2 linked regions of the Lepisosteus oculatus genome follow. The protein of the gene in region 1 interacts with the protein of each later gene in a pairwise test. Links are inferred from orthologs where the notes say so. Each region holds a gene or a part of one and is shown on either strand. Other genes may lie near its edges. The genes, in order: bag4 and alg13.

The links.
Region 2: the proteins of bag4 (region 1) and alg13 interact in binary tests that used the Homo sapiens proteins (3 or more experiments, as listed by UniProt). The link is inferred for Lepisosteus oculatus from reciprocal best matches to the Homo sapiens genes BAG4 and ALG13.

The regions. Positions count from the first base shown.
Region 1 is NC_090697.1:70,602,017-70,618,300, reverse strand, and holds the start of bag4 (BAG family molecular chaperone regulator 4), read right to left. Parts: upstream 7,152-16,284; 5' UTR 6,976-7,151; coding exon 6,814-6,975; intron 4,190-6,813; coding exon 4,064-4,189; intron 3,566-4,063; coding exon 3,380-3,565; intron 3,269-3,379; coding exon 2,999-3,268; intron 2,361-2,998; coding exon 1,929-2,360; 3' UTR 1-1,928. Other genes in the region: G protein-coupled receptor kinase 5-like, read left to right, coding at 14,723-14,774. UniProt on the Homo sapiens protein: Inhibits the chaperone activity of HSP70/HSC70 by promoting substrate release. Prevents constitutive TNFRSF1A signaling. Negative regulator of PRKN translocation to damaged mitochondria.
Region 2 is NC_090703.1:39,616,869-39,633,152, reverse strand, and holds the start of alg13 (putative bifunctional UDP-N-acetylglucosamine transferase and deubiquitinase ALG13), read right to left. Parts: upstream 8,680-16,284; 5' UTR 8,584-8,679; coding exon 8,464-8,583; intron 8,089-8,463; coding exon 8,005-8,088; intron 6,468-8,004; coding exon 6,417-6,467; intron 6,318-6,416; coding exon 6,271-6,317; intron 5,418-6,270; coding exon 5,345-5,417; intron 3,234-5,344; coding exon 3,152-3,233; intron 2,018-3,151; coding exon 1,837-2,017; intron 394-1,836; coding exon 330-393; intron 1-329. Other genes in the region: cnpy3 (protein canopy homolog 3), read left to right, coding at 14,696-14,801, 15,883-16,006. UniProt on the Homo sapiens protein: Catalytic subunit of the UDP-N-acetylglucosamine transferase complex that operates in the biosynthetic pathway of dolichol-linked oligosaccharides, the glycan precursors employed in protein asparagine (N)-glycosylation.

The sequences.
Region 1 (16,284 bases):
GAAGGTGCCATTGCGAAAATAATTCTTACACATACAGCAAACAATATGGACATTATATGCAACAACATGCATTTTTTTGGATCGTTAATTCAGACCTGTATGATTTTTTCAATGATTTGTGACTGGAATGGATAGTTCTTTTCAAGATGTATAAAATGTTTACGTGATAGTCATTTTCCCCCAGAGATGGATTAAGGATTTCAAACAATATGTTTGAAAATTGCAGGGTGGTCTCTCTGTTTTCGGTCTGAATAAACAACCTAGCTGGGATGAACACAATGGGAATTCTATCAAAACATATCATTTGCTAAGTCACGAATGATTTTTGTATTTTGCCAGTAAGACTAGTAATATTATTTTTTCCCCAAATCAACCAAGGATAGAAGCGGTCTACAACACAGGTAATCTTTAAAGAACCTGACTATAGACAGCTGTTTACTTCAAAGTCACAAACATTACACTTTTCATCATTAATAATGATCTACTTTTATGAGAAATACTTTGGTAAGAATGTTCATGATCAGTGCCGACAGATGTCTCTGAACGCAAAACGAAACTAAAAGTTTTATCAAATAAACCCACTACTCACATAATGTGTAAATTGAAAACAACAGACTCATTACATATTAAAAGTATAAGCGACTGAAAACAGTCAGGTACATTAAGGTGCCCACATCAACCCTTGAAACACTTAAAAATAGACACAAATGGTTGTAAAAATAAAGCAAACCTAAAAGTATAATCAAGCTGTTTTATTTCCTACAGAGCTGTATAAGTTCTCTGTACAGCAGCTTCCTCAACATAGCCGGACACTACCTGTGCTCTCTCACAATGGGGAAGGGGACCCCAATACCTCCCAGCCGAACCAACTTGTTTCATCACAGGTACTGGGATACAGACCAAACAGACAACAGACGGGGAAGAACTTCACATTTTCACAAGGAAAAATGTAAGTGTAAGAAATAAGACAAACCAGTAAAGTCCAATGGCCTTGTGCCAATCTACTCATACAAGGACATGACGCCAATTCATATCATTAGTGGATCACCTAGCGCACTTTGTGCTCCATATACACCAACACCTAGTGTACTCTGGGAATCCCAGAAGAGGGTGGATATCGTTTTCAAGTACAACGCTTATAAATTATATATCTGTAAAAATAAATGTTTATAAATAATCCACTTTATAAAAAATGTTATCCATATTGATTATATGTAAACTATTATTTCCCCAAACAGCACCTCCTAGTTACTCCAATTCTGAATGTCTCTGCAACAGCTGAGTGGAAATAAAAGAATGAATGCAAAAAATCAGTGACAAAAAAAACGATACAGGGAAAAAGAGACCCCAGAACAGTACTTTAGCCCTTTCCATGTTGGTAGATACCCCAGCAAGATTAGGTGAATCTAATTTTTATGGAATGTGCACTACAGCGACTCTTGGGACACCTCTGAAATCATGGGTGGCAAAACCAGCTCTGGAGGGTCAGAGTCCTGCGGGTCACCCCTAAATCCTCCACTTCTTAAAACTTGGAAGGCATGTGAGGTTTGGATCAATTCTAGACAGAAACAAACATTGGTGGTTCTTAAGGGCTAAGAGGGCTTCATTTCAAAGAATCTACAAAGGGTCTAACTGAATAACTCACCTGGTTCGGTGCTCAAAGGAAAATTGCTGAAAGTGTCTGGAATTTGAAGGTTCATGGGTGACCCATAAATCCTGCTGGGTTCTGGAAAACTGGACTCTCGGGGACCAGGGATGGCCTGAATGATTAATATCATTGCTCATCTAAAATATACATGGGAGAATCCTGTAAGAGTTACAGGGGTCAGTGGAACAGGAAAAGGAGGGATCACCAGGATGTGGGGCCACTGTGCCAATGCTGGGATGATGGGAGGAGTGCATCTTTCTAAAAGAAACGTGGGGAGGCTCTAGAAAGCCTTCCTTTCCAGGCGGTCGAGAATGCCTTGTACTTTCTGCACGGCCTCCTTTCTGGTCTGCCGGACGAGATCTTGCCCCCCGGTTTCCACCGAGTCGAGCTCCAGCAGCTCTTTGGTGAGCAGCTCCTCCAGGCAGCGGTAGCTCTTGTCCGTTTTATGACCCACGAACTCGTCGACGTCCTCCTCCAGCAGGCCCACCCGAGCCAGGACCTGCTGCACCCGGGACAGGCCGGGGTTGTCGCTCGGCGGAGACGCCTCCCGAGGCGGGGCAGGCTCCTGTGCCGTTCCCGTCTTGCCGTACAACTGCGGGGGGGCGCTGTACTCCCCGCCCTGTCCGGGGTTAGGGTTCGGTGACCTGGGCTTGGGTCCACCGGGATGAGGAGGCTGATTTGGGTGGGAGTAGCCGCAGTACTGAGAGTCCTGCTTGAAAAAGAAAAAAAAAAAGAAAGGCAGGTGACAACACAAACCATGAAAAAGATCAAAACACTTTGGCAAGTGAAAATCAAAATAGGTATACAGTATAGATCAACAAAATCATCTTAGAAATAACTTCATTATACAGATGGGAGTTTACAAAAGCCAAGCCACTATTTCTAGACCTGAATTATTTTCTCGTCAGCAAATAATTAACAAAAGAATATACAGGCTGGCACTAGTCTATGCTCTATAAACCAAATCCATAACAAATTTCAATAATGCAAGAGATATAGCTTACTTACAAATTGGATCAACTTGTCCTCAAGGTCCCTACATTATATGTACAGTATCACACCTGAAGAAGGCTCCACGGCCGAAACGTTTGGTATTCTTTCTTTTCAGCATGGAATAAACCTATTACTTGTTCCTTTGCAGCCTACGCATGCTGACGCAGCTACCCACCTGAACTACTTCATATTACATATATGTTGTGTTTTTCATGTGTTACACATTTATAGGAATTACAGAAACAAAACAGGATTTTGTTTTAGAAGCTCCCCGGGCACATTTAGTTTTCCCTCTGCAGTTACACAAGCAAAGCAATCCAAAAAATATTCGAATTCTCACAGCCCGCCATCAGTTACCTTTGGGTCGTACTGTGGCGTGGCAGGCTCAGGGCTGGGCCAGGGTGAGTGATGTGTGGAGAGGAAAGGGTTTCCATAGTGGCCAGGAGGTGGCTGGGGGCCTGGCTGCCACTGTTGGTGAGAAGGGTGCCCGTAGCCCCCTGGGTGAGACCAGGCTTCGGCTGGAGGTCTCGAGGGCACTGCAGGCTGAGCAGGATACGCATGGCTCTGGGGTACTGAATGAACTCCATCTCCGTAGTGAGAGTAGGAAGCAGGAGGGTAACCAGGAGCCTAGGAGAGGAGACACGCAAAAGTAGGATAACAGCTGTTGGTTCTTGTGATGTAACTTTAGTTCTGTATCAAAGCTGCCAGCCCAGAAGAAAGCGGTGATGAGTACCCTACCCCCTGGCAGTGTGGAACGGGATAACGTTGGTGGTGAGAAGGGTGCTGGCCCACTCCTACTGTCGCAGGATTAGGGCACCCTTGGGACGGGTATGGGGGTGTTCCTGGTGGCTGATCACCACAATAGAAGGGGTTGGAGGGGTGGAGAGCACCGGAATAGACCCCGTTATGGTAGGCTGGCATTGCCTGTGAAGCAAAATGGAATTGTAAAGCATCTCTGAGCACACAAACAACAAAAGCAAAAGGTATCCAGAGCTTTACATCTTTTACATCCTATATAAACTAAGAGAGGAGGAAGTGAAATTTCTTACTCATTTTGACAGAACATATGTTTTAAGAGAGTTATTGCACTCAGTCTTGCCAGGGACTCATTTCAACATGTTAAACTCCATAAGTTCAGTCCAACTTGGCCACTTTAATCCAATGTAATTATCCACAACTTCTACTGCTTTAGTCTTAGTATAAAATATGACACAGTTTTCCAATCAATTATTGATTACTATTGTAATAGCTTGTGAAACAACTTGATGCACATGGCTTTTCACTTGAATATTGAGAATATCAAGCTTGATAGTATAATGCGATTAAAACAACCTCTCTTATAGACCGAGGGGAGGAACACTTGAGTGAGCCAGTCCACCGATTGAGTGTCATGCAGTGAAGCAGAATCACTCAATACTGTACCTGGGGGTTGTATGGAGTCTGTCCATTGACTTCTGTTCCAGGAGAATATGTATTTGAATATGGACCGGCTGGGTGAGATGGTGGGTACCAGTAGTTGGATGGATAGCCAGGGTAGGGTACTGAGTCCTATGAGACAAACCAGCTGTTAGAAGGTTACCATGTTTACTGCGGCAAAGAGTATTGCAGTACTACAGAACAGCAAAAACCAGCCTCCTCCAAAAAATCTGTCAGCTCCTTCAGGGGACGATTAATCGTACATGTGGACCTCTTTGTCCAACATGTTGGTACTAGTTCTGCATTCCTTTATCAACAGTAGGCTAACAAACCCCAAGGATGCTGTCTACACCTGAATATAGGGATTAACCACCATCCTCCCAATGTGATTATATTAGTTACTTAGAGGAGATATTTTCATTTCCCCGTGTATCAATACTCTTGGAACGTTAACTGATTTTTTAATATTCTATTTTTTTGGCTGTCATTTCAAGAAAAATGCAAAACAAAATTCTTAAACACACCATGGTCAAAATGTTTAATTGACACTCACATGGAAAAAAAATGTTTTACTGAACAAACCTGGTGGCAGATCTTTTTGAGTTTAGTTTAGAATCACGTCTTTATAATCATGGTTCTCTGTCACTGAAGGATATGATTAAACTTTTCAGCTGGGCATCATTGTCCCGAAACTTGATGAACTGGGGTCCAGTTCTGCAGGTCGTCAATTTGAATGCAAATGGAAATCAGACAGAAAACACTCAATCTGTTTAATCTATGAGTCCATTCTACCAAAGCAAAAACTGTTTTATCTAGTGACTGATTTTTGGAAGATGAAAGCTGTCATCAGATCAAATATTTCTGCTTTGAGAACTAAAGGAATATGATTGGAATCTCCAAAAAACTCCATCTGACCTGACTGCTGGAATACTTAAAATGACCACCTGTTTTCATTATTAAGTAATTAAGTAAAAATACCCTGAGCAAAGGCAGACTCATTTCACATCTTTCTTTGTAACAACTGTTCTAGTGTGATCCTTCAGTTGCAAACCCATCTGAATAGAAATTAATTAAGTGAAACTTTTCCATTTCAGTCTCTGTATAGGCTAAAAAACAGCACATAAACTGCTGTGGTTCGAGTTGTAAATTATTTGTTAATGACCATTTCTGTTTGCTAGACCATTCTTGTGTTGCTTGCCTTTGACGCTGTCCATTATAACAATCCCCTTAAACAATTTAAAATTTGCATTACTAACTCTGTCCTTTGTTAGTTTGTGTCCTGTCTGTACAAAAAGACAGTGTGTATCACTTCTTCACTGTACTTCTTCCACAAACCTGTTCCTTACTGGTGTTCATCGGAGTCGATAAAACAGGGCTCTCTGTTATCCACTAACTATAGTACAGTATATATTACCCTTCATCCAAATAATACAGAGGCAGAACACTTATTGTTTCTATGCTGGTGATAATAATGACCTAATTTCTAGGTCACATACTCTAACAGTCTTTGCATGTAATCTTGTAGGTATCAAAATTTCATAACTTAATAATAAAACTGAGGTTCTATTAGTTTCTATTAGTTTGTTCTCAGCATCAGACTGACAAATCCAGAAGTTTAAGGCAGTCATTTGATAATCGTGTGTATAATAAGAAGCTACAGTAGCGGTGGCCAGCCGTGGTGTTGAAGAGGCACAATCCAGCTGGTCATAAGGTCACCCTTAAATCCATTTTCAAATGCTTGAAACAATTTCATTTTGACCACAGAAGCAGGACATTCAGTTCCGAGACGAATTTTTGATCTGAAATGAAATCAAAATCACTTGAGAAACAAGTTCAATGTATTTACGAATTAAGATTTAAAAGGTTACTATAGGACCTACTGGACTGTAGCTCTCCAGGACCAGTGGTTTGGCCACCAACATGTTAGAGCATCGTTTTGAAGTACTTGTATTTTGCTTGACTATCGTATGCTGAGAAACTCGTCTTAGTTTTTTTTTTAATTATTATTATTCTAGGACTGATCCTGGTATCTCTAAAACACAACTGAAAGATTTCAAATTGTGCAAAGCAGTGCTGCTTACTCCCTCATAAAATCTATATCAATCACGTGTATTCATGCCACCCCTCTCCTGCGATCACTGCACTGGTTACTTATAAACTGTGGTTTGGACTTTAGTATTAACTTGCAAAGTTTTACACATTTTTGCTGCACTGTAAATAAAAGTTTATTTGACAACTTTATGCTCCCTCTGGTCATGCCTTATATTTGGTAAAATGTCTATGCACCTAAGATAAGGAATTATTTGAATTATTTGCTCTTCTTTGTACGGTACGATGCCGAGCCAGTAAATATTTTTAGGTGGTTAAGAAAACTGCTTCTACACGTCGGCTTTTAAGTAGCTTTAAGTAATTTAAGTTATTGTCTGCCTTAAATGTCCGTCTTATAGTTCTGTTGATCTAAGCCTGTGTGCTGTTACATCAGCACAGTATAGTAAAAATATACAGGGGTTAATACGGTACTTAAGACAACAACGACAACGACAAGTCGTTTAATGTGTGACACTCGAGTGAAAATACTGGAAGGAAATTAATGAATAATAAAGTTCAATTAAGAAGAAACGAGGTATTCAACCAGATTCGAACATCTATAAGGTATCCTACTGTAGCTGCTGAAGATAAGCCCCATAGCCTATTCAACGCTGCCACAAGTTACACGAAAGATCACCAATATGCATCCTAAGCTAAGCACTACTTACCCGACTGCCTGTCACCATAGGGGCATTCCAGTTGTTGTTTTCCGAGTTGTTGCTATAAGGAGGCCAGGTTCCTTTGGGATTTGATTGCATTTGGTGCATCGCCCATACAGGATCTCCACCATTTGCACGACCTCTCTCGTTGCCTAACGAATCGTACGCCATTGAGCCCGATTTTACCAACTTGACATTCCTTGTTAAACCAGTGTACGGTTAGAGTTCTGTGGCTGTGCGTTTAAAACGGAACACAACCACATAAAACAATGAGACGCGAAACGTGTACCGCCCCTTTAAGTTTGAGGAACTCTGCTTTCCTCGTCCTAGATGGCAATTATTACATGAGGGCACACTCTTCTTACGTCAATAGGTTAAATCATTTTTTGACCAATAGGTGTTCAGAACTCGGAAACACGTCCCACCTACATCCTGGAAAACGACCTATAGATGAAAGCGGGGTCTTGGTGCCCTTCTGACTGACGTCACTTCTGGTTTTTGCCGGGGAATTTAAAGGGGACGTCAAAGGTTCTTCTAAAGTATCTCTAGGGACATTTGGGATGGAATAACGCATCCTTGATGCGTCAATATTTGTCATATCTACTTGCAGAATACGTTCCTTTAAGCTTCGTGGTGCTATATGATGGCACAGTGTAACGGCTGTGTTTATTAACACCATCATTGAGTTTGGTCTCTTGATTATAATTTGCATAACTAATTATATAAATTGGTTAGGTAATCCTAATGATGTAAAATCAATACTATTTAACCTTGAATCAGACATGGTGGGAAGTTTATATTCCAGTAACGTTTTGACTCTTCTCAATCGGAACAAGACAAGTTAAAAACAACTGAATACGAATAGGGAGTATATAACACAAATCAACTTCTTCAGTCTCTCTGCTCTCACTCCATAGTAGCGTAATATCTAATTCTCCGGTAGGATATTGAAATTTGCTTCAAATTTGCAATCAATAGAACTCAACTCGTTACACACAAAAGAGCACGACAAATGTGAAATGTATTTAATTTATAACATGCATATCCACTAGTAACTATGCCAATAAATATGTTTTTATCCCCAATTTAGCGTTTTCACTCTTCACGAGATCTGTAAATTGTCTTAAGTGGAACATCAAATAAAGAGTTAAATCACAGAGGAAGTGCAGGTCTTACACTAACCTTGCACTTCCTGTCAAGGCAAGGATACACACATTTTGAATGATTCATGGCCAGAAAACGGCTCTTTATAATTATTTCCAACTTTAAAATAGCATAGTTGAATAGCGCTTAAGAAAATGAATTATATGCCGGGAACAGCGAGTCTAATTGAGGATATCGACAGTAAGTAATACGTTTAATTACTGCTGATCCGTACCTTACAATGTATCTTGTGAAGCTCTGCTCGGTTGTGAAAGAGCAAGCGGTGTATTGTTATTTTTTTCAGCTAGTAAAGCGGCTTTTCCCCGTGTTGTTTTTCAATGTGAGTGACTGGTATTGCTTAGAAAATGCAGTAAACGGCGATGTTGTTTAGTCAATATTTGAATGCCTCAGGTTAGGTGTCCCAATTCCTCCCTTAACTCTCACCTCGTCGAACCATGTCGAAACGGTTTAGAAAATAATAATTTATCGCAAAATAAACGTGCACATATCATTTTACTTTTCTGTTATGGTAAAACCGACCTACAAGGACATAAGACATTACGGCTAGCTGCCATGCATGTGTTATTTCCCTATAACATTTAATAATACTTGTCGATGAGTGGAGACTAAAACATCAAATGTTTCATTGCATTGCTCAATTAAGTTATTGTTTTTATTTGTTCCTGACTATGATGTCGTTGCACGTCCTGTGGTGAACGATAGTGAAAACATTGATTGTTGATTACCCTCAAGATCTTTTGCTGTATTGGTTTTTTTTTCTTTTGCAGAAAAACATCTTGTCCTTCTACGAGACGGGCGAACACTGATTGGATTTCTGCGAAGTATTGATCAGTTTGGTATGAATCATTGTGGATCACTTGGGTTTAGCTTTAAAGATTTTCTCCGTGACTTGCATTCAACTTGGGGGATAACGTAAAAATGCAATTTGCCAGGACATGCGTATCATCATACAACTCGGAAATGAAATTGGTTCCTTTAAAATGAGTTCATTTCTTGTTGCATTCAGTTAAATTTTCTTAGTTGTTTTGTTAGTGATCAATTTCAACGAAAAAGGCTGCTGTTTTTTCTCTTGGTAGGTAAATCCTGTAGTTATGTTAATCACAATCCCTAAATTCTGTGTTGTGACAACTGAGACTTCCACATTTTTATATCTTGGAGCTAACATTTCAGAAAGAAAAAAGTTTTAACTTGATCACTGCGAATCGGTGCATTTGAGAGTTCCTTGCTAATGGATTTTTAACTGCATTTCCGTTTAATTTGCAGCTAATTTAGTCTTGCATCAAACAGTGGAACGTATCCATGTGGGCAGAAAGTATGGAGACATCCCTCGAGGAATATTTATAGTGAGGGGGGAAAATGTTGTTCTGCTTGGAGAAATAGTAAGTAGGCTTCTCCTTCTATAGCAGCTTGTTTCATCAGTTGGAATGTTTCTAAGGATGTGGCTCTGAAAACGGTTTCCTTGAATCAGTCCTATATACACAGACTTGTTTTTGTTATTTTCTGAAAATAAACTGATCTGGAAAAACTAATTTCACAAAAAAGAATAGGCTTGAAAAAATGGCGGTTGATCTGGTTGTAAATACCCAGTTTCTCAAACTCCCTTTGAATGCTGTCTTGAAAACAGCTCTGTCACTGGCTTATACCCAGAAGATTAAATGTAATGGAAGTAAAAGATTCTCACAGCAGGGTGAAGCTGGCACTACCTATGGTAGTACATTTGTCATATACAATTACTGGATGTGTAGCGCAGTTGGGCTTTTCAGCACATTGTGAACATGCCTCTGAAAAGATCAATTTATCGAACATATGATAGCAAGGTATCTCACTGCAATCAACTGGAAAGACTTTGAACTTAAGTGAAGTCAAAAACTTGGATCTATTGATGCTAGAAAAAATTATCTGTGATTTTCTGGGTATGTAGAAGGGAAAAAATTATCTCCAAATCAGAAATTTGAAAACATTATAAAGGACGCTCCACTGGTAATCCTATAAAGGACTTTGGAAACTGAGGATGATGTATCGTAACTTTCAGCCTTATTAGAATATCTGTTGTCTTTTTTTTTCTCTGCCCAGGCTTGCTTTATCTTAGCACACTGCACATCTAACTAATCAAATAAAAATAGATCAAATCAGCAGAGAGCCTTAAACTGGTCTGTGTTTGATTCCTAGGATCTGGAGAAGGAGAGTGATACAGTCCTGCAGCAAGTTTCCATTGAGGAGATTTTGGAAGAGCAGAGGGAGGAACAGCAGGCTAAACAAGAGGCAGAGAAATTAAAACTACAAGCACTTAAGGACCGTGGACTGTCTATCCCACGAGCAGACACCCTAGATGAATACTGAATCCCTTTTATTTTAATTGGACCTTTCAGTTTTAAAACCAAGATGATGACAGGTTGTTGTTGTTTTCACAAACTAACATGATCATGTCCTGAAGGGAGAGGAAAGAAAATATTTACCCCTAACAGAACTTGCCACGTTTTGTTTTGTCTAATAGTATTTCAAATGAATGGCGAATTATGGATCTAAACTAATCGTCTTTTTGTTACCTTTGATATGTGTCACATTGGACGCCAGGGCAAATCGCAACAAAGCACTTGTTTTAAGCTGCTGTAGTTATTTTCATATTATGTTTCTTAAATGAAAAGGACTTCTTGTTTTTTGTACTATTCTGTCAGAATAACGGTGGCTGTTTTGAGCTGCCATGTAAATAAACAGAGAACAATCTAAGAATTGTTTAAAAAACTGTCAACATTTTGGTCTTTAAAAATATTAGTGTATTGTTTTCGTGCAATATAACACTTAATTGTGATTGACTGTTGAATATATATATATATAGGGTGCTGGGAATACTTAAAGACCCATGTCTTACTGTATTTGTTCCCGCTCTTTAGTTTATCCTGATTTTTTCATTTAGAATTGTTTTTTCAGCTATATTAAATTAATTACTTGTGGCTAGCTCAAGCAGGTATTGTGCACCAACAGTGTGTTGAAGATAAGGGAAATCTGTACAGTGAGCAGTGTGTTTTATCTGGCCAGAGTTTTTTTTTTTTTCTGTGACACGAGTGCATTGCTCCATACTCGATGGGACACCTGACCACCACATGGCTGTCCCTCATTTGTAGTTCTGAGTAGACTGCAGTGCACGGAGGAAATGAAATGAGCTCTCATCCCATTAACCTAGCACTCCACAGCCCTGGCTTCTAGCCTAATGTGAGAGACAAAATTGAACTTCTCTGTGGAGAAGGTCCTTGGGTTCAAGCCCGAGTCAGGCCACTAGCCAGCTGTGAGTGGGATTCCCCGAGCACCATCTCACACTCAGGGAGCGTGGGGTGGGTTTATCTAAACGGCTCCGGCTTGTGCACGTGTGGGTCTGTCAGAGAGGCAGTGATCTGCACAAATAAGGGGAATGAAGAGTTTGGGAAATTGTCTTGCATATAATTTAAAATATTTTTTTTACGACACTCCAAACAGAGCCTGGCTGCATCGAACTTCCTTCTTAACTGGATTCTACCAGTGGTCAGGTCAATTGGTTGATGCATTTCTTCTGAAGCCATACCTATCGATAAACGATCCCCCAACTAACTGTCCATGTCAAAGAATCTGTACCATGGAGACTAAGGAACCATCTCCATGACCGAATTCTGAGGAGATAGACAGGTTTGTAGGGTACAGTATGCAACATAGCTGAGCAATTGGGCAAGATGGTCCTTGGTCGTAAATAAAAGTATTGATCTCTTTGGCCTGAATAGAAAGCACTATGCCAGGTGCAAACTGAGCACAACTCATCACCTGTGTAACACCATCCCTTCCAAGAAGCCTGGTGGCGGCAGCTTCATTTTATAAGGATGCATTTCAGTGGCAGGGCCTGGGCCACGTGTCAGGAGAGAAGGAAACGGTGCCACGTACAAGCAAAGCCTTGAGGAGAACGTGCTTCAGAAAGCACAAGACCCTAGACTGGGATAAATATTCACATTCCAGCAGGACGACAATCCCAAGCACACAGCCAAAGTCACAATGAAGTCCCTATGGCCCAGCAACAGCCCAGACCTGAATCCCACTGAGAGTCTGTGGAAAGGCTAGAAGACTGCAGTTCACTGATGCTCCCCTTCCAACTTGACAGTTTGAGCAAATCTTAAAGTGGGTGTTCATAAAAAAAAAAATCCCTCAGGGGACAATAAAAATCTTATCTTAACTTGTTTAATAATCATAAATGTTGCTAATTTAAGTATTTAGACCTGTGAACTCAATATTTGATGGAAGCACTGTTGACAGCAGTTACAACTGCAAGTAGTTTTGCACATCAGCTTAGTATAATTTTGCAGATTTGCTCAAGCTGAAGTTGCTTGGAGATCTCTTACAAACAACTTTTTGCACGTCTCTACGTAGATTGTAAAAAAGATGCAAGACAGGAATTTGACTGGGTCACTTAAGGATATTAACAGATTCTGTAATATCTGTAGATATGGCCTTGCTCCTTGGATCACTGTCAAGCTGAAAGATTAATATTTGTGCCACTTTTAGGTGTGAAGCAACTTTTCTCTAAGATTTGCCAGTACTTTTCTCCATCTACTGTATGTTCCCATCAGTCTTGACACACTTCCCAGTCCCTGTTGATGACAAGGAGAAGTATAACATGATGTTACCACCATCGTCCTTGGTGGTAGGAATGGTATGGACTAAGTAGGCACTAGGCTGGTTTAGCATCAAATGAAATGCTTTCCATTTAGACCAAAAGGTTCCAAAATTGTCATGTTTGACCACACAAAACCGTTTGCCACATATCTTGCAGTGTCTTGTAATGTTTTGTTGTAAACCCCGTGTGGGATTTGAGATTTGTTTTCTGCTCTGGCATACAACACAGCTTTGTGGAATGATTGAAATATTGTTGAGTCATGGACGTTGTCTCAGCCACTGAATGCTGTAGCTCTTTCAAAGTTGCCATCAGCATAATAGCAGCTGGCCAAGGAGGAAACTGAGGCAGGCAGTGTATGGGTGCTTTCCAGTCCTTAATGACACAACTAACTATGTAGCTAGTTAAGGTTATTTTGTGCAGCTGAATTAATTTGGGATTTGAGGATTTGTTTTCTGCTCTGGTAGAATTAATTTAGGTTTGCCTTGGCAAAGAGTTTGAATACTTCAAACTACTTGTACATTTTTCTTTCACATTATCTACTTATTTCTTTTTTGCTTTGAATGTGTGGAGTTGGTTGTGCATATAAAAACATCGATGTCTGCTTCATCCTCTCACGGTTGCGAGTGTTAAAGCAACAGACTGCAACTCTTGATGTTGGTACTGTAAGTCATTGTCCCGTGCAAGTTGTACAGGAGAGACAATGTTCCCAGCAGATGGCGCAACGGTTCGGTGCTCGATTCAAATCAGTGAAGCTGCAAAAAAAAAACTTAAACATTTTGCCAGTAGACCTCTCTTTTTTCTGTCAGTCTATGAATATGCAGCTAGTTCGCAAAGACATACGCAGATATGCAAGATGTTACTGAGATTTGAGCGATGTAAATACAGCTGTCTCGGACGTAGTGAATAGTTACTATACATACATCTGATAAATTGAGGTTTTTAAGTGTTGTATAAACCCCAGACCTTTCGAAAAATCGAATGAAATTAGACCTAATAATCCCCATCTATGAACTGGCTTCATCCCCACCGAAAGCTGGTGTGTGGTGCGCGTTTTGGCGCACTATGACTGCCGTCGCATCATCCAGGTGGGGCTGCACATTGGTGGTGGTGGAGGGGAGTCCCCATTACCTGTAAAGCGCTTTGAGTGGAGTGTCCAGAAAAGCGCTATACTGTATAAGTGTAAGCAATTATAATTATTATAATTAATTATTATTTTTTTCTGCGTAGTAAAGGTGTGCAATTTAACAGGAGTATCTCCGCTATCTGTTTTGATGTAAAACAGCACCTTCCACGAGGTAGCCCTCCTCCGCCTGGTACGGGGCGGGGGCTGGTAGGGGGGATTAGAAAAAAAAAGTCTGCTATCAGATGTCTTTGACAGCCAGACATGCCTCTTCTCTCAGCGTTCGTGCGTCAGGAGCAGCCGTGGGTACGCCTCTTCCGACCCACTGTGCCTCGGTAGCCGAGCAAAAAGAGTCCTCCGTTTTGCTTGCTTTATAGGAAACAAATCTGTTAGAGATAAACGGGTGCTCTTCTGTTTTTCGGCCGAAGGAAACAATACCTGTACTTTCTGACCCAGAGCTGACCAGAAGCACGGGGAAGCCGCTTGGAGCGTCGCCAAACCCCACAACCAAAACCCAGCCCTGCTTTGATTACGCGCCGAGAGGGGGAGCATGTTGAGATTGTGACAACCCCAAGTGTACTTTACGAACTCCGCAGTGTTATTACTGGTCTGCAATCTAACCTGGCTCACAGACGCGGCCACTATCAAAGAACCACCAGGGAAAAAAATGCTTAGACAACGGCATGTGTGATACTCTAAATTAAATGACTATTTACTGAACTATTTAAACTGTTTTATCTTAAATATTTTGTAATGGACATGTCTTCGCAAAACGATATCCGTAAACTCCTACCGTGCTTGTGTGCTGGAGACTTAAGTGCTGGTGTGCAAAGCAGTTCTTCGAGTTCAGAATGTCTACTCGTTTGATTTGAATTGTCAAAGAAAAAGAGAAACCGAATTTCTCTGCGGCTACGGGGATTGGGGTTTCCAGCATACAGCCCGAACACTGACAGCATCCACTCGCCCTGAGTTTGTGTCGTGGTCACACAGACGGGATATTAATGGAGTTAGAAAATATTGTGGCCAACACGGTGCTTTTAAAGGCGAGAGAAGGTAAGGAAGTCTTTAAATGTGAATATGAAACCTAAACGGTGATGCGTTTGCGCTTTCGAAAACTCTCTGCAATGAGAGTTTTTTTTATCTCGGCCTGAAAGATTACATTCATAATTCCTAAAACATTTTTTTAATCTAATGGTATTCGGCTTAGTTTCGGATGTTGTTTCTGAGACAGATGTAATGTGAAGTCGACAAATACTGTGTATTCAGAGCCACTTTATGGGAGAGTCGACATCTCTCTAGCCTGAGTTCACCATTGTATCACTTTTTAAAGTATTAACGTATGTCACTTCTTACGTCTTTAGTTGATCTTTAAAGGAAAACAATATGAGCTACCCACATCCGTTTTAGGATTAAGGTCATCGCACACTGGATCCGATCAGTCATTTACTAGGTGTCTACGAAAGTTATGCGTCTTGGCAGTTAAATCCAAACTGTCTGGTCGAGAACCGGTAACTTGAACATTAAAATCTGTTTCAAACGATTTGCTTCTCATTTCTTTCCGTTTTAGTACCAAAATATACTAGCTGTCCGTGGTAACAACCCTTTCTCTCTTACACACAGTACTATGTGCTTATGCAGGCGTGCGGTTGAAATCAGACGTTAGCTTGTTTTCTGTCCTAATAACGCGTCCGTCTGATGGGAAACGTTTCACAGCTGGACTGTTCTATGAGCTGCTCATGAAGAATCTCCCCCTCGAAATTTAGTAAGGATGCATTTTGGAATCTAGACTCGACGACTTATTTATTGGAAAGGATAGTGGACAGACTGTATTTCAGTGCCGGCTGTTGGGGAAACCGTACTGTACATCCAAACAAAAATAGCGTTAGGGTTATTCATCTAATTCGTTCAATGTTGACGTTTAGGGTGAACCATAAATGCATTAACCGGTGTCACAATAAAACGTTTGTGATCCAGTATCCTGTAAAGTTACAGATTGATCAAGCACAGCATATCAAAGTCGTGGTACAGTACGTACTTGTGTTTAACAGTACACTGCTACCTTGCGTCTCATTCACAGTTTTCCTTCATTCATAAGGAAAGGCTGTGTGTGTGTGTACAGCAGATGTAAAATACGTTTTAAACCAGTACAAAGTAAGCCGTGCTTTGTGCATGGTCATATGTCTTTTTTTTTACCAAGTCCATATACTGTACTTGCACGAGCATTCGCTTACAGAACGGAAATGGTTCATGTTAGGTGAAAATTGAGCACAGCGGAGGGAGTGTCAGCTAAGCGCTGACAGAATTTCATAACTGCCTTCGTCCCATGCGACACATTAAAATAGCAGCGCACAATTGACGTTTGCATTAAAAACTGAACTATTCTATGTCGTCTAGGTGGAGTTTGTCCTACAGTATGTCTTTGTGTTTATTGTTTTTGAAGAAACGCTGTTCAACTGAGTGAATACTGTACAGCATAACCGCTGCCAGATTTGCAACATAAGAACGCTAGTATCTAATTGATCCGAAGATCCCATCCAGCCCTGTTTTGTGTAAGCCAGGGTTT
Region 2 (16,284 bases), on another chromosome or scaffold:
TTTAGCAGACCAAAAAGCTGTGCCACAGTCTTCTGTGGCGGGAGTTCTCTCCAACTGTTACAAAAGCAGATTACAGTGCTACTGGCTACACAAATCAGCTAAAAGTACTGTAATTAAGACTGTGAAGTATAATACAGAAGTGGCTCAGTACAAATTTGTTTTAGCAATTCGGGGACTTGCCAGATGAGGGCAAAACTTTTTGTTCCATAGACAACACTGACAACTGTCTAAATCATTATTCACATTATATATAGTTTAACATGATCAACATTGAGATCTCTCAGCAGTGGGCCATAGTCCACCCCCTCAGGTTTGAAAACAATTCTCACCTTAGAATCATCTGTCCCAAGTTTTCCTTCACAGCGGTTCTGCCCACTTGTCTCCCACTCCTCCCTAAGGCAGATTTACAATCGATTATGAAGTCCTTCTTTTAAAAACCTCAAAAAGTATTGTTAAAAATCAGCTATTTAATTATAGATGGAAATAATTAGCCAATAAAACAAGATTGTCCTTAGTGATATAGTCTCCAATGGCAGTTTATAAAAGGTCCAAGTTAATTCTCACTGTCTCTAGCAGGACTGCATTCAAAATAATAGTTCAGATGTTTCTGGTACAGGGAATGGGCACATTGAATACGCAATAACAGCTACAGTTTGCTCCTTTCAGTATTATTTTTGCCGAATTAGAGTACACAACGTCTTATGAATTCACACAGCTTATCTACATGAAATAAAGTCCAATAAACTGTAGCAGAAATCTATAATTTAGCCCTTGGGGTGAACAAAAAAAGCACTTTCGTCAAGCACGAAATACATATGTACAGATCTAGTCAAGTCTTTAATGCAACTGTATTTGACATGGGCTTTTCACATCTGTGCCTTGGCTATACAAAAGTGCAGTAATACTTTGATATCAAATTTGGTGCACTTTTAAAGATTACTACTAACATACTAAATAAATCAGCGTATCCAAGGTTTTGTATGCTTTTTCAAAAATACACGGGCAAAATGTATTGATGAGAAAACTGAAAAACAGCTTTAAGTATGACCCAGACCACATCACCACTGAGAACTGACTTCAACTCCTGCAGGGCACTCCTGCTCCACTCTCAAAATTCTCAGATCCTCTTTCAGTTGCCTGCAGGCAACCATAAACTATAATCACCCACTACTGAGCTTAAGAATTTGCAAAAGGATGCAAGAATTATTCTTAAAAGTTTAAACCCAGAGTGAAGAATTGTGGCTGACCTTTAGAAATAATGTATAACACTTGTATGCTCCAAATGAATTGCATAATGACACAATAGGAATGTCACAGTGAGTCCTAACTGCATAACTTCATAAGGAATCATGCCTTCTACGTGTAATAAGAGGAGGCAAGGTCAGATTAGAGAAAGTGTACAACATAAGATGGGAGCTCAGAAATGCATCAAAACATGAATCATGTCAGGTAAGTAATCTTTGCCCTTTAAAATTTTGCAATTTATGCATTAAAGACAATACTTTCGCAGAAATAAGCCTCGTCATCCTTATCGTGGTAAAGGAGATGTGCATTAACGCTCGAACCACCATCTTGAAAAACTAAAGAAACATTGCTTGAATTGAGATGGGAGAAGTCATTTCCTGAGTTTATAGCATGTTAGAACAGTCTCTTATGGTTAAGCCTCCTCCCGGTGTAAACATTTTCCAAATTACTACAGTATTACAAAACAGAACCATTGTTCTGAAGCAGACTCCAAAATAACTAATAATAATAATAATAATAATAATAATAATAATAAGGAAGGGGGTTGGTGTTCTCTATATTCTGGAATGTGCGCATCATGGAAGGCCTTACTTGTTTTCTGAAGAGCTCCTCTGGGTCTTGTCATCAGGGGTGTCAAAGCTGGCATCCTCACTGCCCACAGAGGTGCTGTTGTGGTATCTGTGCCCGCCACTGTGGAAGGCCTCCAGTGCCCCCTGGATCTCTACCTCTTCAATGCTGAACACTCTGCTGTAAAGCAGCTCATACACAATACCTTGGAAAGAGAACAGCAAAATCAGAAAGCATCTCCATTTGGCACCCTATAGACGTGAAAAGTTATTATTCCCGTAATAGCATTAGGGGCAGCAAGGTAGCACAGTGGTTAGGTAGCACTGGGGTCCTGGGATTAATTCCAGGGGGTTTCCAGTTCCAGCTCCAGGCAGCAATGCGAACATACATTTCATTTTTTTTTTCAGAAATGAACCTGGTGGATAGAAGATAGGTCCACCCCAAATATTCTGTTTGTCATTCCCTCACCAATTGCATTGAGTAAAATGCACTTGTGAGTTCTCTCTTTGCGCATTCGTGATCACTGAGAGAGATTAGCTGTAAAATACTGCTCCAGTAAAGCTCTGTAAACTTTTTACAAATCACAAGAATATAATTACAATTGTAATGACTAAAAGTAATGACTAAAAACGGATACAATTGTGTCAGAAAGTCATCTTCCCTTTCAAATTAGTCTTAAAACCTTAACCTAAATTATTTAGAACTTAACTGGTGCTGGTACAGTATATACTGCTTTGCTCTTTCTGTATTTAATACCCCCATCTACTGTCTCTTCTCATTATGTGTTTTCATTGTGTATTTCTTCTATTTGTTGTCATTCTGTAAAATGCTTTAAGAAGCCACCTTTAAAAGTGCTATATAAAATGAAGTTCATTATTATAATTTCAGAAGACGATGAATATTGCTTCTTTAGGACACAGTGGGTCACTTAGAATGTATTATAGCATAAAGGATTTTATAAAAGTTTATATTTATAGTAGTCTTATTTCAAGCGCCTCAAAGTATGAGAAAATCTGGAGTAGAAATGCAAGATTTAAAAATGTTGTATAAACAAAACCCAAACACCCAAGAGTAATTACAAAAAATACCACAATCATTTCAGCAACTAGGAAACTAAGCTTCTAGAGACTTAACAGCTGACCTTCCAAGAACTACATACTGTAATGTGTATATCAAGGGAGCTATTCTTGACAAAAATATTCAAATTATTTTTTTAAATCAAACTTAATATCTTAAGCAGTTAAAGAACCAAAAGTTGCTTGAGTCAATCAAGAGCTTATTCAAATAACTCAGCTGACACTGGAATTGGAGAGAGCACCTCCTGAACTGAAGTACTCACCTTGGCACAAGGCAGCATCAGTTGGGTAGTGCTTTGGATAAACAATATCATAGTGGCCATTATTGGAGCAGCACAGTAAAATCTGAAACCAAGGGAGGGACAATTCAATGCACATGGTGTCTCTTGACTGAATGGAAGGTCTTCTCTAGGCAGTATTTTACCAATCAATAAATGATATACAGAAGGCCAACAGGAATGCTTCACCTTTTTGAATATTTGCAATGCAATCATATCAAAAGCCTTCACAAACTTTAATAATTCATGGCAAAAACTTGAAAGTGTTGAAATTGAGTTTCAGGTTCAATTACAATTTAATAAGAAAGATTGTGCTCTCCATATAAAATTTAATACTGTACATCTGAGCAACACAAAAGCTGTTATACAATGCACAAAGAAGAAAATTAAAACCCCCAATCATGAATTTTTAATACAAATGTCTAGATCGATAAACTCAGCTAGAAATTCACAGTTGGTTTACATTTAGTCATATGATAGGTAAAATATTTAAATTCTGCTGCCTGTAGCGCATAGAAATGGCTCCATCTGCTGTTTAAGAGCTGTCTCATCTAATTGTTAAAAGTACTACACAGCATTATGTTAGCACTTGTAGTCTTTTTCCTTATAAATCCCAAAATATCAACACAAATACAGAAAAGGGGGGTGGGGGGTTAGGAGAACAAATATTCAAATCTTAGATTAAACCTCTTTGTTGTAGCATTCACAACCTCTGGTCCTTATGGCTCCAGTGTATTAGCCTTTTTCCATTTCTAAGAGTAGCAAGTTGGACAGTGCCAGCCACAGACCACTAGACACCCGTCCAAAGAACAAGGTTTGCAAAAGTAACTCTCAGTTACTCTCAATTACCATAAGCCTCAAAAACTAATTTAGCCAATATAAGCACCAAATTTTACCAGTTCATTTTAACTTTAAATCTCACCAGAACACTTAAGTATTAGCTTAGGGTTAAACAATGGCGAATATCACATTAGTGCCGCCTTCAAAGCAAGACAGTCTCTGCTGATTTTTTATTGAAAGACTGCCCAGACAACAAAGTGTTTCCACAGATTACAAACCTGCCTTTTCTGTCTAGCAATTTATTTTATTCCAGATCTAGGTGAGGCTTTTTCAAATATCAAAATCTGTAAATTTCTATACAGTTACAGCACTGTACTTTGGTTATTTCCTAAAATGTTCCCATCCTCCATCCTCCAAAGAATCTCGCCAGACCTCTGCTAAAAGTTTGTTTTGAAATATTTAGATGTTTTTTGTAATATTTTAGCCTACTATGCAAATTACAGGAATAACTATCAATAAAAGCTTTCCTTTTTCCCCCCATCACACCAATATACTGTAAATACAGCACTGTTAAATATTTTCCTGGAATTTGGTCAGTTTCTTGCATGTTTACTCAATTCTTAAACTGCAGTGCTCAGCAAGCCTAGGACTGTTTATGGTTTGCTGCTGAAATACACTATTATTTTGACTTCCAGAATCAATGGTGTTCACAGGCACACTAATATGTGTTACTAAGTATTTTGTTTTTCCACATTTAGTGCCTTAAACCTCACAGCACTGCTCTTCAAGTAAAAAAAGTTACTTCTGAGTAAATCAGGGAAACCTGATAATTGGCATTATGCATTTAAGGAAAGGATGTGAACTGTTGCCCATAGTGGTGAAGTAAAAAAATATATCAAGCCTTTACCAGGGTTCACTGAAAGACTACACCTGAAATCCCAATCTATATTTTGGCTTGAAGTCAGGCGACGTAAACAAACGCAAATATTTTCCTTAAGTTTGATCTGGGACATTTCTCCATCTAAAGTGATGGCAGTCAAATAATAAACTGTACATCAGCTGTAAACAAAACATTCGCACCCCTCTCTTAACCTTCAAATAACAGGGAGACTGTTACTGAATGCCTGCAATCTTTTTCAGAGCTCTAAGCACCTCTCCAGAATCACAACCTAAGGAAAATCTTCAAAATCCTGTACATCAGACCTCCTAACCATAGGATAAGGACAAAAAAAACCCTGGTTGTGACCATGCAGGTTAATGATAGGTGTTTCAACCCAAGGTTTGCCTCAGTCAGATGGCTCATTATTTAAACAATTGCAAAAAATACAGAACTATGCCAGGTTTCAGGAAAACGGGTGGTTTAAGAAGAGTGACAATCCTTTTCACAAAGCTCATTACCTTTTCTGGGCACTCATTCTCAGCAATTTCAGTAGGCGATTTTCCAGGGGACTTATAAATGATAAACTGGCGCCTACAATCAAATATAAAAACCAGAATATGGTTCAAAATAAATAAGAGGTCAAATTAAAAGATTTTGAAAAGCTGTCCAGTGAGCAATTCATAATGCAAACAGAACAGCATGAACCATGCATATTAAAACACTTACAACAGTAGCAATTCTGGGCTCCAGCTCAAACAGTTCGTAATTGAAAAACTATTCATCTCCAATTTGAACTACAGCACTAACACCATATGCGAGCAGGCTTCTTCACAAGCTCCTCTCAGATTACCTTAACGCTGACTAATCAACCCACTTGGGGAAAACATGCATGAAGAGCTTTCCGAATGGGAAGGCTTAATGGAATGGGAACGTTCGGTTGCCTTGGGCTCGGTTCAAACTGAACTTGCTTTCAGTTCTAGAAAAAGGTGTTCTTCAGCATCATAAACTAGTTAAGTAGCTATGATCACTGATCAACCCCTCAGTTACCTGTTCAAACAGCTCCCCGTTAAAGGCGTGTTAAATATTCAGAACTGATCTAAACGTCTTTCATAGTGGTGAAATCAAAACAAAACCTAAATCAATATTCTTTGAAGACATTTACCCAATTGCATTAATGAAGGTGTTGTGTATTTAACCTGGCATTAATGTATATAATCCGTATCTAGTGATTACTCTTCCCCAGCATAGTGCCAGTCCTTGCAGTTATGCAATGTTAGTGCTGTACTTCTTTTTAAAGTATTTAAGAAACCTCTATTAAGAACGTAATATCAGAACACTGTGATCATATTAAAACAATTACAGCTTAGAGGGAAGTATATACAGAAGGTGCCACAGAACCCAATTATCGTTGCACACTGTACCCCCACGGTAGAGAATAACTTACTTAAATAGCAGAGAAAGAGCTTTAATCTCCACTTGGCCAGCCGTTTCCTACAATGAAAAGCATTAAAACAAGAAGTGACACCATTACAGAACCACTTAAAGCTTCACATCGAGAGGAGTTTCAGGATAAATCACAGAGGGGCGTACCTTTGGATCTTCCAGACGCTGCAAGTACTTCTCAAAAGATCCTTCCACAAACTAGAAAGAAAGAAAACAGAAAAGGTATTCCATGATTAAAAATCCCAATTTAAGGGATTTTTAGAAAATTTAAAACAGGATTTTGTATTTTTTATTTCTTCTATAACTATACAGACCTCAAGGGACAACTAAGAACATAATGGTTACAAATGAGAGGAGGCCATTTAACCTATTTGCCAGTTAGTAGTTAATTCATCCAACCAGCAGAGAAAGGAAGCCACAATATCTGCCTCAACTATACGGCTGAGCTGCTTGTTTCCTACTTCCACCACCCTTTGTGTAAAGAAAAGTCTCCTATTCCCGCTTTCAAATGCACATCCACTCAGTTTCCACGTATGTCCTTTGGATCCTGTTTACAGTTCATTCTAAAAAAAACTCTACTTTAAATGCCAATGATGATTTTGAATACTTGTATCGGGTTTCCTCATCATCATATGAACTTTTTCAATCCTAAAAAATATTTTTTAGGCTGTCAGCATAGGACTTCCAGGTTTTACCAGTCTTGCTAGTCTTTGATGGGCTGGTTCCTGAGCACCTTTTTTTAAAGCAGTGGCATGTAAGTTTGCTTAAAATATCTTCTAATGCATTTAATTTAGAGTTAGCACCTGACACACAGTAGGAGTATGAAATTGGCCTGAAACTCAATTAGTGCAAATGGGGTACATAACCTTAATTAAACTGACACTATTGTTTAATTACCATACATGGCCCGACTACACTTGTTTTATTTTTAATGTAGCCATCATTTGAAGCCACCTGTTTAAAACATGCCATTTACTTTACCTTCATGCTAATTTGCTTATCTTTCTGATTAACCGCTAAGTCCGTTGTGCTGAGCTCTTTTCACCTCTGAACACGACAGAGTGGGCAACACAAATACAGATTATATTATAATCTCGAAATTTGCATCTTTAAAAAATAAATGCAAATAATCGAGTAAAATAGAAAATTACATCGCATTATTTTTCACACTTCTAGAGTCGATTGTATTAGCAGGTCTCATGCTGTAATCCATTTCATTTAGTAAAGGTTTGAAGCTCAGTTTGAGCATTCCTTCCATTTCAAAACCTCAACCTTCAAAGACGAAAAGAAACTAAAATATTCAACTGCCTCAGACGTTTCTAAATTTACCTCAATAAACACCCAAGAAGTTTCAGTTACTCGTCCGAGGCACGTGGACGTCCCTACGTATATCTGTTAAAATGCTAGGAAAGCGTTTCTACTGCAGACGGAGTTAATTTCAAGTTATTTTAAATACTAATCTTTCAAGTGTATTGTATTCAGGATTCGATGAATTTGTCATTCTATAACCACTATTTCTGCAGTGTCAGCTTCAGAACGATAAACCCCAAACCTTATAGCATTTCACACATTATCACATCTTATTACACTATTTTATCACGTTCAAAATAAAGGCACGATGGTGTTTGTCGACGTTTTATTTTAAATTAAATAGCATAAAAGCGTTTATTTTACATTTCACGTTGTTTTAAATGGAAATGAATGAGCCTTAATAATGTAATGCAAGACAACTTACAGGTTCAAAGTTGCACCTGTTGGCTCTCATGAAATCAACACAGGCTTTCCTGACGTCCTGGTGGTAATTTTGCGAGCAATAAAGCTAGAGAGAAAGATAATGTAAATAAACCGATACTGAATGCAACATTGAACAATTAACCCTGAATAACACAAACATAAGCTTTACACGAAATTATGCGTTTTTAAGTGTTAAGTCTCTGAAAATGGGAGAGCCAAGACCGTAACATTTCACACAATTACACATCTAATTACAATACTTTATCATGTTCAAATAATATGATAAAATCTTGCAATGTGTTTACCTTGTTTTTACACTTAACCAACAAGTCGATAAACAATTGGGTATTAAGGTTTATAAAGCAAAGATCACGACATTCACAAACACCGAAATGTGGGGAATTCGAAAATGTTGTGAAAGGTGCAACAGCTTTATTCCAAAATATATGTGCTGACTTACCTGCTCAGAAACCGCTCGGAAAAGACAGGACGCGTCCCTTGCTACCATTTTTCTGTAAAGGCCAATGCTTGCAAGATAATCATCCATGTTCATAAAATATTTCTTTAAGCCTTTTTGCATTTTAAACGCAGTACATTATGTCTCACCGTGTAGAGACGAAAGAAAGCGATGCCTGAAAGATTCCTTTGAGAGAGAGACGTTCGAAACGGCCCGGTACAAAAGTGCTCTAATTAGCAAAGCAATTTCAGGTGGCTAAAACGGTTTACGTAAATTAGAAATTGAGCCTTCTTGGCCATTTGTGCTTAAAAGCAAATAATAGTTTGTCCGAGACCTTTTAATTTATTTTTGGGAGTTGGTAACACTTGTATAAATTGCATTTGGGTGATGTTTTTAGCTCAATGTTCGATATCGATTTGTTTGGAACTTCAAATGCGTACTAAAATGACTTAGATAAATCAAACTACTTTTTGTTAAGCATGATTAAGTGTGTTTTCACAGCTTTATAATTTAAATGCCCATTTTTTCTGACACCCGGCGTTTCAGGTGTACGGAAGCGCATTGCTGCCATCAGGGAAAACATAGTTTATGCGTTATCTCGTAATTACGAGAAAATAAATCATGAACATTTTCTTTGAATAAACCCCAGTGGAAAGTCAGTCCGTGCACACCATGCAATGTTTGACATTGTCGCGAGCACTAACCCCTAAAGTTGTTGCTCGGCTAATAATGGTTACTAGGTGGTGTCATTACACAGGTTGTTCATACACTCAAATGGTCATTCTTTTTTTTCCCTTGATGGTGGCAATGCGCTTCCGTACAGATACACGTCACTTTGCAAGGAAAACGCACAAACCACTTGTCATTTTTATAATCAAAATCACGAGTTTGAGAACTTTTTCTACAACATTAAAACAATATGGTGTTAACACAGTGTGATGTACACATACCACCAACCCCACATATGGCCCCGCCCAACAGCTAATTGCATTTTTAGAAACCGAACCTTTTTGTGTATGCGCAATTACGCATAGGCATACCATGTACGACATGGTGGAACCGCGGTGTATCGCGTGCACTAGATTTCCAGAATTGCTATTCTGCAGGTAATTATGCGAAATTAATACTTGCACAGAACCATATGAAGAAAAATACACCTTACTCAAAATAGGTCACAATTAAGCATCTGGATTCAACCTTTCATTGATTTCTGAAACTCTTTATTATCTGTTTTCTGTGTTAAGGCTTAGCTAAGAATGCTATATTTTTGACGGGAGGAAAGATGTTCTGCACGCAATATCTTTTTAACCAGTAGATCCATGCTGTTCAAGCCCGTTGATTTGAGAGTACACAGTACCCAGTAACCTTCAGAACCTTTCTTTGATTTCTTTCCTTTATTGAAACTTTGAAACTTCCCTTTATTTTTAGGACTTTTAGATTACGGCACTATTATACATGCACTACTTTGGAATGGGGGAGGCTATTTCACAGTCAATTACTTATTTTGGCTGTGAGTTGTGGTTTATCAGAAGGTGCTGTGTGTCCTACTGTTCCTCTCTGGGATGTTGCTGGATGTTGGGTGCTGGGATCACATGCTGAGGTCATGAGGTACTGTAGGTTTCTTGAGATCTCAGAGTTCTTTGGGTTGTGTGGTATTGCATGTCTTTTCTTGGCAGCAGGGTGGAGATCACTATTCAGATGAGAATGAACTTCTGTGTCACATTCTCAGCCCCTCCCCTGAAGGAATGGACCACCTGATTTCTCTTTGGGTCCTCAGGCCTTTGCTGCCATCGTGGAGTATGATGTGCTCTGTGGAATAGGGGTGGAGCAGTGGCTCTGTGGCTAAGGATCTGCGCCAGTGGCTGTAAGGTTGCTGGTTCAAATGCGGTGTCCGGTGGAGGAATCCTACTGCGTTGGGCCCCTGAGCAAGGCCCTTAACCCCAACTGCCCCAGGGACGCCATATAAACAGTTGACCCGCCTGTGTGTCTCATGGAGAGCAAGCTGGGGTATGTGAAAAAACAAATTCCTAATCCAAGAAATTGTATATGGCTAATAAAGTAATCTTATCTTAATATCCTGTCCCAAGTGTTGACCTGGAAAGCAGCTGCAGTGCCTTCCCCATTAATGGACAACATACTTTTGTAGTTCAGGTGTGTCAGCATGCGTAGGCCGCAAAGGAACAAGTAATACAGTAGGTTTATTCCATGCTGAAAAGAGATGAAAGAAAACAACATTTCGGCTGTGTAGCCTTCTTCAGGTGTGAGTAATTTATTTTAAATAAAAGTAGAAGTTGTAGAAGTCTCTGAGTGTTACTCTATGTGACGTCAGAGTCGAAGTCGAAAGAAAAAGTGTTCAATTTCAGGCCAAATCCTTTACGAATTATATTTTAACAACGACATCAGTAAAAGAATAGGAGGTGGTGAGAAAGCCTGGTCTTGGAACAGATCGCTGTGAAGAGCCGGAATGCTGGTTTAGTAAGAAAGGGGGCAAGTAGCCCAGGGAGGAAGAGAAGGAACGACAAAGAGATCTAGAAAAAGTTTTAGAGGAAGGCATAGTGGGTCAGTTGAAGAAGGTCAGGTGGGTAGCTGCGTCAGCATGCGTAGGCTGCAAAGGAATAAGTAATAGGTTAATTCCATGGTGAAAAAAAAAAAACACTAAGCCTGTAAGGCAACACCCGAATCCCTTACACCCGAAGAAGGCTCCACAGCCGAAACAATGTGTTTTCTTTCTTTTCTTTTCAGCATGGAATAAGCCTATAACATACTTTTGTTGTTCATAGTCCTGGGAAGAGCATTGATGTTTGTCACATTGGAGTCAATAAGAATGGCTACCTGCAAACAAGGAAAGGGTTGATTTTCATGAGTAAAATGGGAATTCTAGATCATAATTCCTTCATTCCTTTTTTTTACTTTTATATTTATCTCAACATAGAACAGTATGGTTTAATCTGGTAGACACATCTAAAAATGCAATGTTTTCTAAGATGAAATTGTACACCTTTGTCATTACTGAATTCAGGTGTGGTAAGCAGGGAGGGGGTAGTACTGACCTCTTTTGGGGAAATTGTTGAATGGTGGAAGGAACACGTTGAGGAACTACTCAACCCAGTGGACGTGCCCTCCTATCAGAAGACAATGACAGACATACCTGGTGCAGGGGAGCCCATCACTGTTGCCAAAGTCAGTATGGTGGTCCGAGGACTCCATAGTGGTAAAACTGCGGGGGTGGATGAGATGTGACCAGAGATGTTGAAAGCACTGGACAGTGTTTGGGGTAGCTTGGATAACGCGCCTCTTCAATGTTGTATGGAAGGTGGGTAAAGTACCCTTGGACTGGCAAACTGGGGTGGTGTTCCCTATATTTAAGAAGGGGGACCAGAGGGTGTGTTCCAACTATAGGGAGATCACTCACCTCAGCCTCCATGGGAAAGCCTATGCCAGGATACTGGAAAGGAGACTTCGCCTGGTAGTTGAGCCTCAGATGCAGGTGGAACAATGTGGATTCTATCCTAGCCGTGGAACAGTGGACCAGCTCTGTTCCCTGGCGCAGCTGCTTGAGGGTGCGTGAGAGAACGATAATCCAGTCCACATGTGTTTTCTGCTTTTGGAGAAGGCATATGACCGTCTGCTACACGGACAGAACTGAACAGCTACAGGGTTGTGTCAACTGCACGCAAAGGGATGTGTTTAAAGACACATCAAAGGATATTCACAAACTCTCTGAGGTGGTTTCCGATTACATTTCCTTCTGTGTAGACATCCATCATTCCTACCAAAAGCCTTAAGGTTTAACCCAATAACAAACCCCGGGTAACCAAGAGCCATAAACGTGTTTTGCTTAAAAAGAAACTTGTTTTCTCTCAAGAGAACACGGAGCTTAGGAAGGAAGCACAGAAAGAAGTCAAAAGGGAGATAAGGAAAGCAAAGGAACAGTACAGGATAAAAATAGAAAATACCATGGCTGTGGGAGATTCAAGGTCGGCATAACAGGGTATTAAATCCGTGGCCAGTATCACTCACGAGAATAAGGGTAATACTGTTCCTGTGTTAAATGACATGGTTAATCAACAGCTGGCAATTGATTTAAATGTGTTTTACACCCATTTTGAAATGAAAACCACAACCACCCCCCAACTTACAGTGCTGACCTCCCAGTATCTGGAGAGTCTATCAAAATTGAACCAGCTGAGGTATGTACTATAAGCCATTTAAGAAAATGAATGTGAGAAAGAGCACAGGTCTAGATAATGTGTGTGAAAGTGTTCTGCAATCTTGTGCAGATCAGCTGTGTGATATTGTCAGAATGCTTTTTCAAATGTGCTTAAATCTACAAATCATCCCTTCTCTGTGAAAGAAACCCATCGTTATCCCTGTTCCAAAAACTGCCAGGCCAACTGAGCTTCACAGCTTCAAGCCAGTGGCTCTTGTATCTCTTCCAATGAAAAACCTGGAGAGACTATTAACACAATACAACCATTGTTGGTTGCACAGAAACTCAGAGAACTTCAAACTAAACAGTAACTTTTTAACAAATAGGACTCAACGGGTCAGATTGGGGAACTGGTTATTTGACATTCGCTATACTTCCACTGGATCACCGCAGGGCTGTGTTTTGCTCCCCTACTGTAAACTAACGATTGTAAAAGCAAACACACAGACAGCCCTGGGCACCTTATTAAGGGACCCAGAAAACCATCATGGACCCATTCTAAATGACTTTACTAAATGGTACGACGGCCTCTCTGTGCAGTTTAATGTTCCAAAAACAAAGGAGCTGGTCATTGATTTGAGAAAAAAAATGCAATACCCCTCCAACATACTGTAATTAATGGTCAGACTGTAGAAATTGTCAGTGACTACAAGTACATGGAACTGGTCATAAACAAAAACCCGAGTTGAGACAAATGCTGTGACCATTTTAAAAAAGGACAAAAGAGACTCTTATTTCTAAGGAAACTAGGCTATTTCAAGGTAGATAGAACTATCCTGTCATTTTTCTACAAGTCTTTTTATTGAATGCCCTTTCATACAGCTGAGAGCTCAGTCACTTCTTGTACTTATGTGCTTAATTAGATACATTTTGCTCCAAAATCATAACATTTAAAACTACAAGAGGGTGTAGTAATGTTATGTTAAACCTGTAATGTAATGGTGAACCTGAAATATCTAAGGAATTGTTTTTCTTTCAATAGGAAGTCATTTACTTTGATAGCTTTTATTCCAACAAAAAACCTGTTTAAATATTGCATAAAAAGGTGCAGGACTGACAGTTACTCAGTTAAACATGCTGAGCTGAATAAAGTGCATCGTTATTCATCCATCCTTTAACCTCGTTATTCAATGCAGGATCGAGGCCAGCAAATGGGCACAAGGCAGGATACATACTCGACGGCACACCAGTCCATTGCAGAAGAGAATAATTATAAGCAAGAAAAACCCTTTCATACGTGCAATATGCAATATTGCACCTTTATACAGTACAATTCATGACATTATGTTGCATTGAAGAAGGGAGTTGTTTACAGAGATCAGTTTTAATGTTAGCTGTGGGAGCGTTGATGCTGTATTGATAGGATCTGGCTTATGTGATTTTGCTGTAGAAAGACAAGTGTCTTTCAAAGTTACTGAAAAAAGGAAAAAAAAGTGAAACGTTCGGCACCTGTTGCTAAACATACAATTCGATCGAATGTAAAATTAAATAATTATTTTGCAATAATAATAATAATAATGATTGCTTACACTTATATAGCGCTTTTTCTGGACACTCCACTCAAAGCGCTTTACAGGTAATGGGGACTCCCCTCCACCACCACCAATGTGCAGCATCCACCTGGATGGATCCATGCTGGATGCAGTGACACACATATTTGCTTCATTGGGAAATACAATTCTTATTTTTGCAGAAACCCCACAAAAATGTTTTGATCCCCAAAGATAAATGAAACTGGAAGACGTTTTTCTATTTCTGCTCCTATAGCATCACATGGTTTCTCTTGGGCCAAATTTGAGCCTGCTTCCTGTCCGGCCTGTGATTGGTTCACAGCTTGACACTGCTTCGCCTCTGATTGGACGGCTAGTCCCAGCTGCGCATGGTAGCTTCTGGCTAAGGCGGATATAGCAGTTTCATTCAGGAAAAAACAGTGAGGGGGAGTTCTGGTTAAACATATATAAAGTACATATTAGTATAAAGGTCGCATCGGTCTTGCTTCATGTCATTCTCTTTTAATATTCAGTAATGCGCACTTTGGCACTCCTGGGCCTGTTCGTACTGACGACGTTTTCACAGTCGGCAAAAAAAGATGAAGATGAGGAATGGGTGCATCTGCCGGATAAATGCGAGGGTGAGATAAGAATAGTATTGAGCTGAACTGCTGTTTGTAGCATTTACGAGTTATTGCTTTTTTCTGATCGTTTTTTTGAGGATTTCTGAGGATTTTTTGTGTTAATTGAGTTGTACAACAATGTATAGTTTAAAAGTGCACGATAAACCGCGGTTTTGCTGTTTATAATAATAATTGCTCACACTTTTAAAGCGCTTTTCTGGACACTTCACTCAAAGCGCTTTACAGGTAATGGGGACTCCCCTCCACCACCTCTACCAATTGAAACATTAGGTTGTAAACAGTATTTAGGGGTTACAGTACAGAATCGCACCCTCAAAAGAACACCAATAACACAAATTCAGTTATTTAATGCATGTACAATGTGCCGAAGTATTTCTCCAGGCACTGGAAAAACTGCATGATCTTCATGTGCACTTGTTTAATTTACTGACTGGTGTGTGTGTGTAATTGTGTTACTGAATCCATTTGCGCACAGTAATGGTGTTTGCAATCTTTGTGGTGATTTTACGATTCGTGCAATACAGGTCGGTTTGCTTCCCTAAAGCCAATAGAGAGCTAAGTGCAAATATACTAATATAATGTTATTCATTATATATTAGCGAAGACGTTATTTGTGAATTTCCCCCTTTCAAAAATGCAGAAGTGAAACTGGTAACGAATGCAGTACTAAAAATCAAAACAGTGCATGTGCTGCTAACTACTAACATTTCAGTGTTTTTTGCTTGATACTGTATATATAGAATTTGTTGTTTTTTAGTATTCATTTTTCAGTCTGCTTCTGGAAGGATTGCATGCCTTAAATTTTACATTATACAGTGACACTACACATAGTGAAAGGATTATTAAAAAGCGTCCAGGTGATTAAATTGGTGCTATTATTTTTCGATAGCTGTACATTGCCCTTTAAATACTGCGTTTTAGTGTCGAATCCTTTAGATTTTTGTCCACAAATATGAAGGAAGCATTATATCTTCAATAAAGATAAAGTGCTTTACAGCACACTGATGTGACACTCAAAAACTTTGAATTGAAACAATTGTGTTGTTTTGTGCAATCAGAGTCTTTTTGTCCTTAACAGTGTGCAAGTATGTGTCAGTGGAGATGAAGTCTGCCTTTGAAGAAACGGGGAAAACCAAAGAAGTGATTGACACAAAGTATCGTTTTTTGGATGAAAAGGGGACTCCAATAAAATATGTCAAATCGTAAGCTTTATTTTGCTGACTTTTGTTTAGTTTTTTCGCGTAACCTATCATTTTCTGTGTGGCACGTTTTACTGTAGCTCATTCATTCTTTTATCATGCTGTCATGGATACAATGTACTGTACCAGACCTCCAATAAAAAGGAAATGAGGAAATATCCAGAACATTCAATTAACAAGGAGTATATTTGCCACATGCTCAAGATGCACTGGAATTTGAAAAATCCTTGAACTCAGATAGGGGAATTTCAATAAAATCCATTTAATAAAATTGTACAAAA